Regions from separate parts of the Mus musculus genome. Here all the other regions are reported to be linked to region 3. Evidence: microRNA targets listed by miRTarBase, many of them from high-throughput screens and not tested one by one. Region 3 holds a microRNA gene; each other region holds the end of a gene's coding sequence.
What was found. Region 3 holds the annotated microRNA mmu-miR-758-3p (UUUGUGACCUGGUCCACUA, at 1,299-1,317, opposite strand). A microRNA usually pairs through its seed, bases 2 to 8, with sites in the 3' UTR of a target mRNA and lowers its output. Matches are read on the target gene's strand: a 7mer-m8 pairs with bases 2 to 8, a 7mer-A1 pairs with bases 2 to 7 and ends in A, and an 8mer does both.

Region 1 (4,062 bases), not on the chromosome of region 3:
ACTGGTGGGAAAATTTCCCTGCTTTTCTCTATCCTTTTTGTAGAATTTTAAAATGCCCCTTTTCTGAAGAGACACTTTGTTTAACATCGTTTAGAAGCATCTGGTGGGGAGAGTATATAATGTGGTGTGGAAAGAGTTTGGGTCAGAAAATATAAATCTGCCTCCCATCTGGGGAAAGATTTCATGTTGCTAGGTTTGCTTGTTCTCACCAGGTTGAACTATATGGAGATGTTGTAAGTATTTAAAGCATTTAACCCAGTGCTTGGAGCACCCTTACATGCTTAAAGAGGAATATCAGTCATTTATCATATTTCTAAATTGAGATATCTATCAGTACAGAACCTGTGTATGCATGATCATATCATGTTTGTCTCCACTGCAGTTATCGGCAGAGGGCTCAGAAGTTATCGGAAATTCACAAGGATCAACCCGGCCACCCTGTCAATCGGACTACCTATTGGATAGACTACATTCTTCGCCATGACGGAGCCCGTCACCTCCGTTCTGCTGTCCATCAGATCTCTTTCTGCCAGTATTTCCTACTGGATATTGCCTTTGTGCTTCTGCTTGGTGCTGTCTTGCTCTACTTCATATTGTCCTATGTGACAAAATTTATCTATAGAAAAATCAAAAGTCTATGGTCTAAAAATGAGCATAGCACAGTTAATGGACATTACCAAAATGGAATCCGCAATGGCAAATACAAAGGCAATGGTCGTGTTAAACACGAAAAGAAGGTGAGATGATCCGACAGCCCAGGTGAAGGGGCCAAGTCTGTAGTGCTATTCTTTAGTCTAACAGCTACTAAAAGTAAATGTCAGCAAACAGTCCTAACATGCCCTCATCAGATCTTATTAATGAGATTCCATGGATAAAATGTCTGTAAAGAGCACAACCCTAAATGCAAAAATGTATTTTATTCTAATACTGATGCAGAGAGTTGGCAGTGAACCATTTAGAAGCCTTAATTATTTAAATCAATTAAGTGACGTGTCAGACCTTAGTTTTAAATGTTATGTATGTGTTACAGGTGAGGGATGGTGTTTTTCTCTTGATAAGATGTGTGTATGTTTCCTACGTCATTGAGTTTTAGCTTCTATTTGTATTTAGTTTGTAACAGTATTTCAAAAACTGTTTCCTAAACTCGGTGTAAAGTGGCAAGTGAAAAGATGGGTGGCACAATTTTTGTATTTTTGTTTATTATAGACATTTTTATTTTATTTTTATTTTTTGTAAATGCTTTTTTCTTACCAACTATAGACACTTGTGAAGGAAAACATGCAATGAAGTAAATGAGTGAAAAGGTTTTCACATTTTGCTAATATTTTTCTCCTACCAATGATTTTTCTCTGGAAGAATTTTCTAATTAGGACAGAGCAACAAAGCTCTTACTTTTGTTCAAAGTACTGAAGATTATTGCTTAAATAGCACTTGGAAGCAGAGCCATGTGTAAATGCTTATTTGACTTAGATATTCCAGAATTTGAGTTTTGAGTATTCAGGTATCACTTCTAAAGTTTTAACTTTAGAATAATCACCTTTCATTCCTTTTATTATCTGGGCCACAATATAGTATATAGTATATAGGTGCCAACGTATCCTTCTTCCAAACAGAACATTTGCAGTTCTCCTTGCTGCCTGCTTTAGCTGCAGGAGTTTGAGGTTTGTCAGCAAATAAGACTTTACCTGCTACACAGAAATGACAGAAATTGTACCACCCATTTGTGCAAATGAGTTTCCATTCCCTCCTCACTACATCAGCCCAACTCAGTAGCCTTTTTTGTCATTGTGCTTGACATGGGACAATGACAGTATCTGTTTGGAACATGGAGACAAGTCACAACTTTCATAAATTCAGGACCTCCATGTTGAACCACTTACTAAATGGCACTGTAAGCTTATTCTATGTCACTCTGTTTACTGAGCATTTGCACTGCACATGCTCTGTGTGTGCATTATTTATTTGTGGTTGGAAATCCCATATTTGACACTTGAGAGTAGAGAAATGAAATATTTACTTAATGTCACTCACTAACATGGCAGAGTTGTGAAAAATCTAGAATGCTGTAAATCCTTGTCATACACTGTGACATACAACTTTGTGACACTCCCACCAGGAGCCAGTCTCATATACTTAGATTTAATATCAATAGTTTTTTAATGCACAATGCATACAGCGTACTGCTTTCTGAATACTTGAAATGGTATCTATACAAACCTGTTAGTTACACCTTTTCACAATCTTATCACAACATTGCCATTCAAAGAGGAAAATGATCAGGCAATGAATGGTGGGTGGTAACAGAGCATAGAGTGTATGAATGAGTTGATTTTACTTTTGGCATTTGGTAAAGTTGACAATAGACACTAACTGGATGATTAAGCATAAGTTAATTTCCACTGTGGTTTAAAAAAAAAAGAAACTTAAAACAATAAACAAAGTTGAAAATAGAGAAATGTTGTTGGAATAAAATTTTTATTCAGATTTTATTTCACAGTATTATATAAAGGTATATTTACATTATAAACATGTTTCTAAGGCCTCCCAACTTTTGTATGTATATATGAATGTGAAAACAATGTATTAAATGTGAGAACATATTTAATAAAAATTAAATGCAGGGATTTATCCTTTAAAGTACATCAACACGGATCTTTAAGTTCTATCCCAGAATTAAGAATGTTAAGTACAACTCCTCTCATTGTTTGTTTGTTTTGTTTTGTTTTGTTTTGTTTTGTTTAGCATTTTGTTGTTCTTCTCTATCATCCCCTGCCCTGGACTCCCAGGAAGCTTACTAGCCTGTTATAGTAAATAGGATGATTTAACATTTTCTATACTTGGGCTAAATTCTCTAAGGAAGTAAGGTTTTCAAGAAGGCATTTATTCATTTACTTTTCAGAAAGAGTCTCTGCAGCAGCAAGTGCTTCCATGGCTACTTTATCACATGAAAACTGGGATGTTTTTCCTTCTAAATTGGTAATATGTAATATCTCATTAATAGCATAAGACAAGAATTTTGATAAGATTTGGTAAATCTTTGGAAAGCGCTTGTATTCGTTGCAAGTAGTACTATATTATTGAACTTGAAGAAAAGTAGATATTTTCCTCAAATCTCAGACTTTTACTAAAGCCTAAATTACCACTGTTCATACTGGGGCCTTGGGTTGATCCCCAGACTATCTCATCCCCCATGACTCACCAAAGAAGAAACGAAGGAAGTTGCAAAGTATCGTCAAGTACTAATTTAGTGATCTGTTTTATCGAAAGTATAGCCAATTAATTTCTTTGCTGTAGTAATTAAATAAGTTCATAGATGTCACATTTAACAATGTTTATTACTATCAATAATAATATGAAGGGGAACACTCAAAATCTTACAAGTTGTAATGGGGAAATTATAGGAAATCTGTTGTTAAAAATCTCCTCAATATAAGCCTTAAAGCATTTCTTGTTCTGCTTGCAAGACTAGTTTACCCAGCTTTTAAAGAAGTATACTTACTATCTATAGATATGCTCTTTGTATTTTTGGCAGACTTAGATATTTTTTCCTGACACATTATAGTAAGAAGTTCTTGGAGTTCACACAGGTAAACCATCTACATGGTTATCTAGCTGAAAACTCTCCAAACTAGTAGGTTTCCAGCTACTGGGGGTGTTTGTGGGATGGACTTACGGATGTTAGCAGTAGGAGGTAGCACAAATCTGTAGGTATGGAAACAAAAAGTCACATGATAGTGTTATCATATCATTGGGGTCATTCAGATGGATTTTAAAGAAAGAATTCACATTATAGTCTGCAAATTTTTTGAAAATATACTCTATAAGACAAGAGTTCTTAATTAGAGTATAATCCAAGTTTTGACTGATGAATCACAGCCACATGCAAAATTATACTATGAGACCTAGAAAGGGGAAAACTTTTGATATGTAAATAAGGAAAATATCTAATTTTTTAAAAATGTAAGTTAATGGAAATAAGTCCAATACCAACATTAGCCTTATGGATTTACAATACGTCTGATAGGACAGAGAAATTTCATGTATGGAAATTGTTTAATTTAT
Region 2 (4,062 bases), not on the chromosome of region 3:
GGGCATGGCATGGGGGTGTCAGGTGAACCCTGACCCCTGACCCTGAACCCCAGGGTGAAAGATGCGCTGCTGCCCTGCGTCCCTGACCCCAGCGGCTCCTTCCCTGGACTCTTTGAGAAGCATCACGGGAACTTCCAGGTGCGCGGGGGGGGGGGGGGGGTCAGGATCGCTGTGGGGGGTCACTTCCTGTCCCCGGAGAGTGAGGGCATGAGGCAGGGGGATGATGGGAGTGACAGGCGTCACGGGCCACTGCCTGACTCCAGGCACCGCTCCCCTCCCCCTCCCCCCACCCCCTTCCCTCCACCCCCCCCCTCCACACACACAACCCCTTTCGCTGCAGGCCTGGATTGCGGACGCCCAGGCCACAGCCCCGCCAGCCAGGACCGAGGAGGAAGATGACCTCATCCACACCAAGGCTAAGAGGGTGGAGCCCGAGGACGGCACCTCCCTCTGCACCGTGCCAAGGCCACCCAGCTTCGAGCCAAGGGGGCCGGGAGGCGGGGCCATGGTGTCAGTGGGCGGGGCCACGTTCATGGTGGGCGACAGCGGCTACATGACCCTGTGACCTTGAAGTCACTGCCAGTCTATACTTCAGGCTGAGGTCACTTCCTGTCTTTAAATAATTCAAACTCACAAATCCTGTGCCTGTCTGTATGCAAATGTGGTCACAAATATTCAAATAAAATGCAAATGCTATGCTAATGCGGCCAGCCATCATTAATTCCTGACCAGAAAGGGCGGGGCTTGAGGAGCATCCCAGCGTCTAGTGGGGGTAACATCAGGGTGACATCATCTCCCCATCCATCTGGGCGGGGCAATGAGCAAATGTACCTCAAGAATTCGCAGGTATGTAAACGAGTTTCATGAATATGCTGTCCTGGTGGCCCTGAGGGAGAGAAAGGGTAAGAACCAAGGGAGGACAGAACTGCGGGTGGTGAGTACCACCTCGCCCAGGCCCCGCCCTGGGATCTAGGCCCCACCCACACATGCTGGCAACTCCCCTGTGACTGTAAGTGATGTCACTTCCTGTCTTTTCCTCTGTGTTCTCTGCTTCCTGTGCTCTCTGCAGGCCCCGCCCAACTCACCCAGGCCCTGCCCTGATGCCCGGGCCACACCCCATAGTCTGGTGGTGTCCTTGTCTGACAGTGACGGACCTTTCCCTGACATCACTTCCTGTCCCTGCCCCTGTGTCCGCCCACCCTGCCCGTGACCCCACCCCCTGAACACTGACCCCCTCCCCCCGACCACGGACCCCTCCCAACCCAGCAGGACATGGTGAACTCGCACCGGGGCCTGGCCTTCCTGAAAGCAGCAAAGGAGTTCCACTAGCGTTACATCACCACTGTGAGTGGACACGCCCCGATACGCCCCCAACCACGGGACATGCCCAGACCCCGAGATCCCCCCCCCCCCCCCCCCCCCGCTCACAGCCCTGAGATTTCCGCCCATAATCCAAGGCCACAAACACCTGGCGTTCAGCCACACCCACACAGTCCCAGGCCAAACCTCAGGTGCTCTGTGAATCTCTTGACTGCCCTGACCATGCCCCTGACTCTACTCATAGCTGTTAGGTTCACTATGAATCCCTCTGACCCTGCCCAGACTCCGCCCATAGCCCTTGGCCCCGCCCATAAAGACTTTACCTGATTCCTGCCTTGGCCCCGCCCTAGCCCTGCCCAATTCCCCACAGCCCCGCCCCTAGTGCCAGGCCACACTCATAGCCATGGCTCCACCTCCGACCCTGTGACCCCGGCTCCTCCCCCATGTGACTCAGAGGATCTTCTACACAGTGAACCAGTCATGGTCTGGGATGATCTTGCGGGAGGAGCTGAGGCACAGCTGCTTCCTGCAGGTGTGGGCGGGGCCCGGGATGTGGGCAAGCTTGTTCTTCTGGACTTCTTGTGGGAGAGGTTTTCTGTCTTTGGACAGGACCTCCCAGGGATGGGCAGGGCCTGGTTGTGGGCGTGTCCAACATAGGAAGTGGTCGTTCATGAGTCCTTGTCCATTAGCCAGGCAGTAGGCAGTCTTAGGGTATGGGCGTATCTTGGGGTATGGGTGTGTCAAGGACAGGAAGTGGGTGTGTCCTACAAGGGAGTAGCTGCAACAGGAAGTGACCACAATTAGGTAGGCGTGACTTAGCGCAGATGTGGGCGTGCCCCACACCAGAAGTGCTCCACTGGACACCCCTGGGTCGGTGGGCGTGTCCTGAACCTGGTCCTTGTCCCCTGCAGGCCAGCCAGACATCAACCGCATAACATTCGTTCTTGTTCTTCTCCTGTGAGCATTTCTATGTCATCTACTGCAAGTTCTGGGAGCTCGACCTGGACGGCGACCTCGCCATAGACTGGTGAGACCTCGAGCGCTACGGGGACTGGGGACTGGGGTGAATGGTGGGGGCAGGGTCAGGGGTGGGACTCAGGGTAAAGGGCGGGGGTTCGAGATTGGGGTCTCGAGACAGGAGGCAGGGTCAGAGGGCGGGTTGAGGAGGCAGGGACAGCGACCACCACTTCATGATTGGCATGTGGGTGGGGCTTCATGTGGGCGGGGGCCAGGGGCGGGGCCTGGGAGGTCGACCTTGGCCACAAACTGGTGATTGGACCTCGTGATTGGCAGGCACACCAAGGGGGAGGTGGTTGTGGCCTGACGTGTGGAGTGGGCGTGGCCTCCGCCTCAATGGGCGTGGTCTCCATCACCCTGACCCCGCCCTGCCCTTGCAGCCATCTCTTCCTGGATGATAGACTGCGTCTTCTCTCTCCGGTGCTGTCACCCAGTGAGCAGCCTGGGAGGTGAGCGGGGGTCTGGGGAGGACGTGACTTCTGTCCCCTCCCACCACTGACTCCAATTCCTGTGGTGTCATCACTGCCCCCACTTCCTGTCTGATGTCATCACTTCCTGTATGACCCCGTCCATTTCCTTATGACGTCATCTGCAGGCCCCTCCCACCCCTGACCCCCACTCCCTGTGACGTCATCACCACCCCTACACCCTGTCCAACCTGGCCACTTCCTTGTGACAATCCGCCCCCTGACCCCACAGGGCGCAGCCCCTGTGCAGTGCCAGGAAGCTGGGCTATGCTGAACTCATGTGGTGCCTGCTCTCAGAGGAGGACAAGATCACGTGAGGGGCGGTGCCCCAGTCAGCCATGCCTCCTGCTTGCTCCTTACCTCGCTTCTCTGTGGTCACGCCCACCAACTCTGGCTTCACCCTGACATGGCCACGCCTATAGGATGCTCTGTCTCCGCCCCCCCCCCCCCCCCCCCCGCTTGATCCTGGCTGACTGACCCCAACCACCGATGCTATGACCCCCACCTCATGAACTCTGACCCTGATCTCATGACCCCGCCACCGTGACCCTGCTGACCTCTGACCCCTGATCCTGCCCACAGACACCATGATCTCTGACCCTTACCCCTTGCCTCCACTCCTTGACTGTGACCCCGCCCATTGACCCGCCCCCGTGACCTCTGACCCCCCAACCCCACCCACCCCCGCAGCACTGAGTACTGGTTCCGCTGCGTGGTGGTCGAGCTCGAGTTCTATGAGGAGCAGGCCTGGCACATGGCCCCCCAAGGCATGGAGCTCCTCCTTTTCTGCCACCTCACGCACCAGGTGCTCGACCTCTTCGCCCCGAGCCCAGTGAGCAGACGGCTAGGATCCCGGCCACGGGCAACCTCTGACCCTGTGGGGGACTCCTGACCCCTAGGGTTAGCCTGTAAATTCCAGGGTGACCTCTGACACTACCTCCCCATTGTAAGCTCAGGTTGCTTTGTGGGTGACCCCTGACCCCAGGTGACAACACGGGCGACCCCGTGTGTGACCCCAGTTTGACCCCTTACACCAGGTGTCGTCACGGGTGACCCCAGCAGGGGCGCCCTGTGCGTGACCCTTGTGACCCCTGACCCCTAGGTCGGATCACGCTTTGTGGCCTGAAGCGCTTGAGCCTGGCAGGTGAGTTCTTTGATGCCTTTTTCAGCATGGACAAGTACCCCGCACAGGAGCAGTGCAAGCAGGCACAAACCCCGCGGGTGGGTGTGGCTGAGGGGGCGGGGCATGTGGTGCGGG
Region 3 (4,065 bases):
TGGCTGATTAAAAGCCCATCACCGTGCCTCCAAAGCATGCTGGACATGTGTGGGGGTGGCTGTGTCTAACCTGTTAGAAGCAAAGTGGGTGCAACCTACCTGTGATGACCTGGGGTAGAGTTGCCTCGGTGGCTGCCATCTTCCCCAACTTTGGAACACCATATTGGTTGAGAAGTCCTCCTGAGAATGGACAAGATACTGAAGGTTAGAAGCACAGGCAACAGAAATCTGATGTATGGGATGGGTTTTGTCCGTCACTCACTTGTTCATAACTATTAGTGTGTCCTCAGCTGAGGCTGAGGTATGGACCAGAAGGCCTCCATAGTTTGTTCTGATGGGAAGAGAGGTTGACCAAATGTGTTTCAAACACAGAAACCCCTCTTCCACATCCTCAGTTAACAATAACAATGACACCTTCCCAAACTGGACCTTCAGACCTGGCAGGCCTGGGAGGGTTTAGAGGACAAAGGACACCATTCAGAACGATAATCCACTCGCTGGCTTTGTGGAGAACCAGTTATTCCTGTCCCCTGGCTGGATGCTGACAGGACCATCCTTCCCTGAGACTGGGATCTGGACCACGAAGCCTCCAAGATGGGATTTGATACTGAAAAAAAGGTTAGCTGGGTGTGTTTCATTCTCATCAAAGAAACAGAGACCCAGAAAACCTCTCTTCCGGTACCAGAAGCGAACACTGACAAGACTACCTCGGTAATTCCCCAACGTGACCTTCAGACCTGGCAGGCCTGTTGAATGCAGGGTTGCACACTGGATGTTAGTCAAAGTGCTCAAGCAAGCCATTAGTTGATATATATCTGACAGCCATCCCATCACATGCCCCAGTACAGCAGACCTCCATGGCATGATCCTGAAGTTATGTCACAACCAGAGAGCAGTGGCGCAGTAGAGACTGGCTATAGGACTTACCACCATTTTGGGTAACCACAGAAAGGCACAGATGCCCCCAAACCAAAGATGATTCCTCCCACAGATTTAGCATGCAAGTGTGCTAAGGTGACCTGCGACCTGTGCCATATATAAATGGCATACACACACCCTGGTCATGTCTGACAACATGGTACGTTTCTTGAACTTGGATGGCCCCATATCAAGGAAGGGATCCAAGTATAGGACAGCATTGGAAGCCCATCCAATACTACCATAACAGGCACATATGTTGCAAGTACTGAGGATGCTGTCTCCAAGTCTAACAGCGTACAGCTGGCTTATTGCCTCTGTCCCCAAAAGTTGAGATCTCTTCCAGGAAGTTCTCCAAGGGAAGGTTAGATACTGAGGGTTAGTGGACCAGGTCACAAACGGCACAAATATAGCGTGTGCTCTCTGGTCAACCACCTCACGCACCCACACGTGTATCACATGTCGATGCCACTTTCCTGGTCTGCAAGTCACCCTGCCCACGAAGCTGCCAAGCCAGAGAAATTTGCTGAGAAGAAGGCTGCCACACAAGAGTTATTGTCAGACACAAGAAAAGACAAACCCGCTGGCTGGGTTGCGCTAGCACACACATTTAGTGTCCCCACCCCACAGCTGGTGTTAGCTCCAGGAAAGCTCGCAAGGCGGGATTAGATACCGCAAAGAGGTCGACCGTGTAATGTGCGCCATAAATGAAGCGAACGCGCCACGGACCACCTCTCTCCAAGTACCAAGCAGCAGCAGTAGGAAGACCGGGACACTGGCTCTTCCTCAAAGCAGATGTCACCTCCTGGAAGTCTTCCAAGGCGAGATGTGATATTGAGAAGAAGTAGACCATGTGTCCTACGTCATAAATAAAGCGTACACACCATGGTCAACCGCATCTTCAAATACCTTGAGGTAACGCTGGCTGATTCCAGCTCACTTTACTTAATTTGGTGTTACCTCCAAAATGCCTTCTCAATGAGTGTCACAAACTACCAGCAATCGGCATGTGTGGCAATGGCCACAAACTCATGTTTAATGCCACTATGACTTCCAGGATGCCCTGTAAGGCTGGGCTGGGTGCCAAATATTGGCTTTGGATCAAATGGCCAGAGTCGTAGGTAATGAACATGGCCTGTAGCCAAGCACTGGGTAATCTGTGTTGGATAGGGTCTGCCGCCTGAGCCCTACTCTCAATTGGTATGGCTTTCAGAAAGCCCCTGGTGACCGGCTGATGCAGAGATGTGGTGGACCATGCTGTACATGCTGGAATTAACGCACACACTCGACAGTCTACCATCTCCCCAAGTACTGTGCTGAAGCCAGGACAGGATATCTCCCATGAAGTTGGCTCGGTCTCTGGAAAACCCTCACGAATGACTTTGATAACGAGAAGATGTGGACCATACTACATACGACACAGAAGTAGCGCATGTTCTATGGTCAACCATCTTTTCAGGTACCATGGAGAGAGGGTGGTGCAGGAGCTGGCTTCTTTCCTCATGATTATCACTTCCAGGAAACCCTAGATGCAATGTTGAAAAGAGACCACCATGCATTGCCTGCTGCAGATGCAGAGAATATAGCAAAGAGAAGTTTGCAAGGACGCGAAGAGAAGACCCCGTAACTAGCACTGTGCCTTTAAGGAAATATTGTTCACAGGAAGCCCCCAAGGCGCATTCACTATTATGGGAAGGTGGACCAAATTAACATGCGCTGTAAGTAAAGCAAGAAGCATGGACAACCTCTACCCCAAGGCATTTGTCCTTCTGCCTTGCCCCCCCACCCCCAAGGTTAATGGGGCCTCTTTGGAAACCTTCAAAGCTGAAGTTGATATTGAAAAGAGTAGGCCAGGTTACAAATGGTGTTAATAATACACATGCAGTTTGCTTGATCCCTCTTCAGGTACCGTGAGGTCATTGCTGATGCAAGAACCAGAGCCCTGTCTCTGAGGCTAGCAGCATCTTCAGCAAGTTCTCCAAGGCTGGGCTGGAGGTAAGAAGAAGTGAGCCAAGAAGCAACTTTGATCTGTAAGCATACATGGAGGAGCCAGGCTGGGTCATCTTCCTCTAGAAGGCTAGACTTGATATGGAAAAAAAGATACTATATACGAAGCATCAGTGGAAACAGGGACTGTGTCTTCATGCATCTGTCTTTGCACTGTATCATGTAGCCCTAGCTGTCCTTCTATGGGCATAATGTCTTGAAGGCATCTGATGATAGCTTTGCAGATGATGAAAACACGCAGCATCCCTTGATGATGAGCATCTGTGGAGCTAATTGCCACTTTTTCAAGTCCTAAGGAGGGAGGGAGCATGCCCAGTTGGGATGTAGGACACCTTCCTGGAGGTTGTCATCATCCTTGAAGAAGCCCTTAAGGGCTGCACTGAAGCTGACAGGAACACCTTGCCACATGAATTAACAGAGAAAGCACACAAAAAGCAGAGGGATGTTTGGCCAAGCAGCCCGATGTAGAGAGCAAGCCAAAACAACGTTTCTTCTCTCACTTCAGGCTTGCTCGAGGATGGTATGGACTGGATGGCTGGGCTGGATACCAAGAAGCGGTTTACCGTCCCACATACATACTCAAAATGTATGTGGGACGGTAAACCATTTCTTCAAGTACCGCGTGACAGCAAGGACAGCTGTAAGAAGGTTCATGTCTGCCAGGTTGCCTCAGGACACCTCTTCAGGGATGGTGTTGAGAAGAAGCAGGTCATGGAGTCTACTAACCAAGAGTCGCCTAGACACCCCTGTCACTGAGGTCACGAAGAGCACTGATCCCAGAAAGCTTTGTGGTCTCCTCCCCAGAGATGGCAAGAGTTCCCAAGGCAGAGCTCAGCAGAGGAAGGGGGAGATTATGTCATTTCCCATCATGCAGGAAAGAACACACGCCATATTGAAAACCATCTCTTCCAGCATCATGGAGAAGCCCTGATGATGAGTCTACTGGCGTCTCCCCGAAGACAGCATCTTCTCCAGGGGCCTCGGGGATGGATTTGATACTGAGGGTTAGTGGACCGTGTTACATACGTCACAGATAAAGCGTACGCTATACGGTCTACTATCTCTCCAAGTACCACACAGAGACGCCGAGGACAAAGGCTGAGGGCACGTCCAGGAAGCCCTCTGGGCCATTGAGCTGGT

Region 1: the mRNA of Ugt8a is a reported target of mmu-miR-758-3p. Seed matches in the 3' UTR shown: 7mer-m8 at 1,836-1,842.
Region 2: the mRNA of Crlf2 is a reported target of mmu-miR-758-3p. Seed matches in the 3' UTR shown: 7mer-A1 at 631-637 and 8mer at 665-672.

The regions. Positions count from the first base shown.
Region 1 is chr3:125,863,900-125,867,961 of GRCm38, reverse strand. Ugt8a (UDP galactosyltransferase 8A) reads left to right here. Exons shown (of 6, transcript NM_011674.5): 6 at 383-2,690. The coding sequence ends at 746. Among named protein-coding and RNA genes, the nearest start is that of Gm40145, 33 kb to the left of the region's middle.
Region 2 is chr5:109,551,349-109,555,410 of GRCm38, reverse strand. Crlf2 (cytokine receptor-like factor 2) reads left to right here. Exons shown (of 8, transcript NM_016715.4): 7 at 54-138; 8 at 341-702. The coding sequence ends at 565. It overlaps Gm8493 (a long non-coding RNA gene), which reads left to right and starts at 1,425. Exons shown (of 6, transcript XR_880564.2): 1 at 1,425-1,852; 2 at 2,232-2,347; 3 at 2,718-2,786; 4 at 3,037-3,948.
Region 3 is chr12:109,710,110-109,714,174 of GRCm38, reverse strand. Mir758 (microRNA 758) reads right to left here and starts at 1,365; the gene lies at 1,285-1,365. Mir411 (microRNA 411) reads right to left here and starts at 4,000; the gene lies at 3,919-4,000. It overlaps Mir299a (microRNA 299a), which reads right to left and starts at 3,537; the gene lies at 3,475-3,537. Mir299b (microRNA 299b) reads left to right here and starts at 3,482; the gene lies at 3,482-3,530. It also overlaps Mir380, Mir1197, Mir323 and Mir329.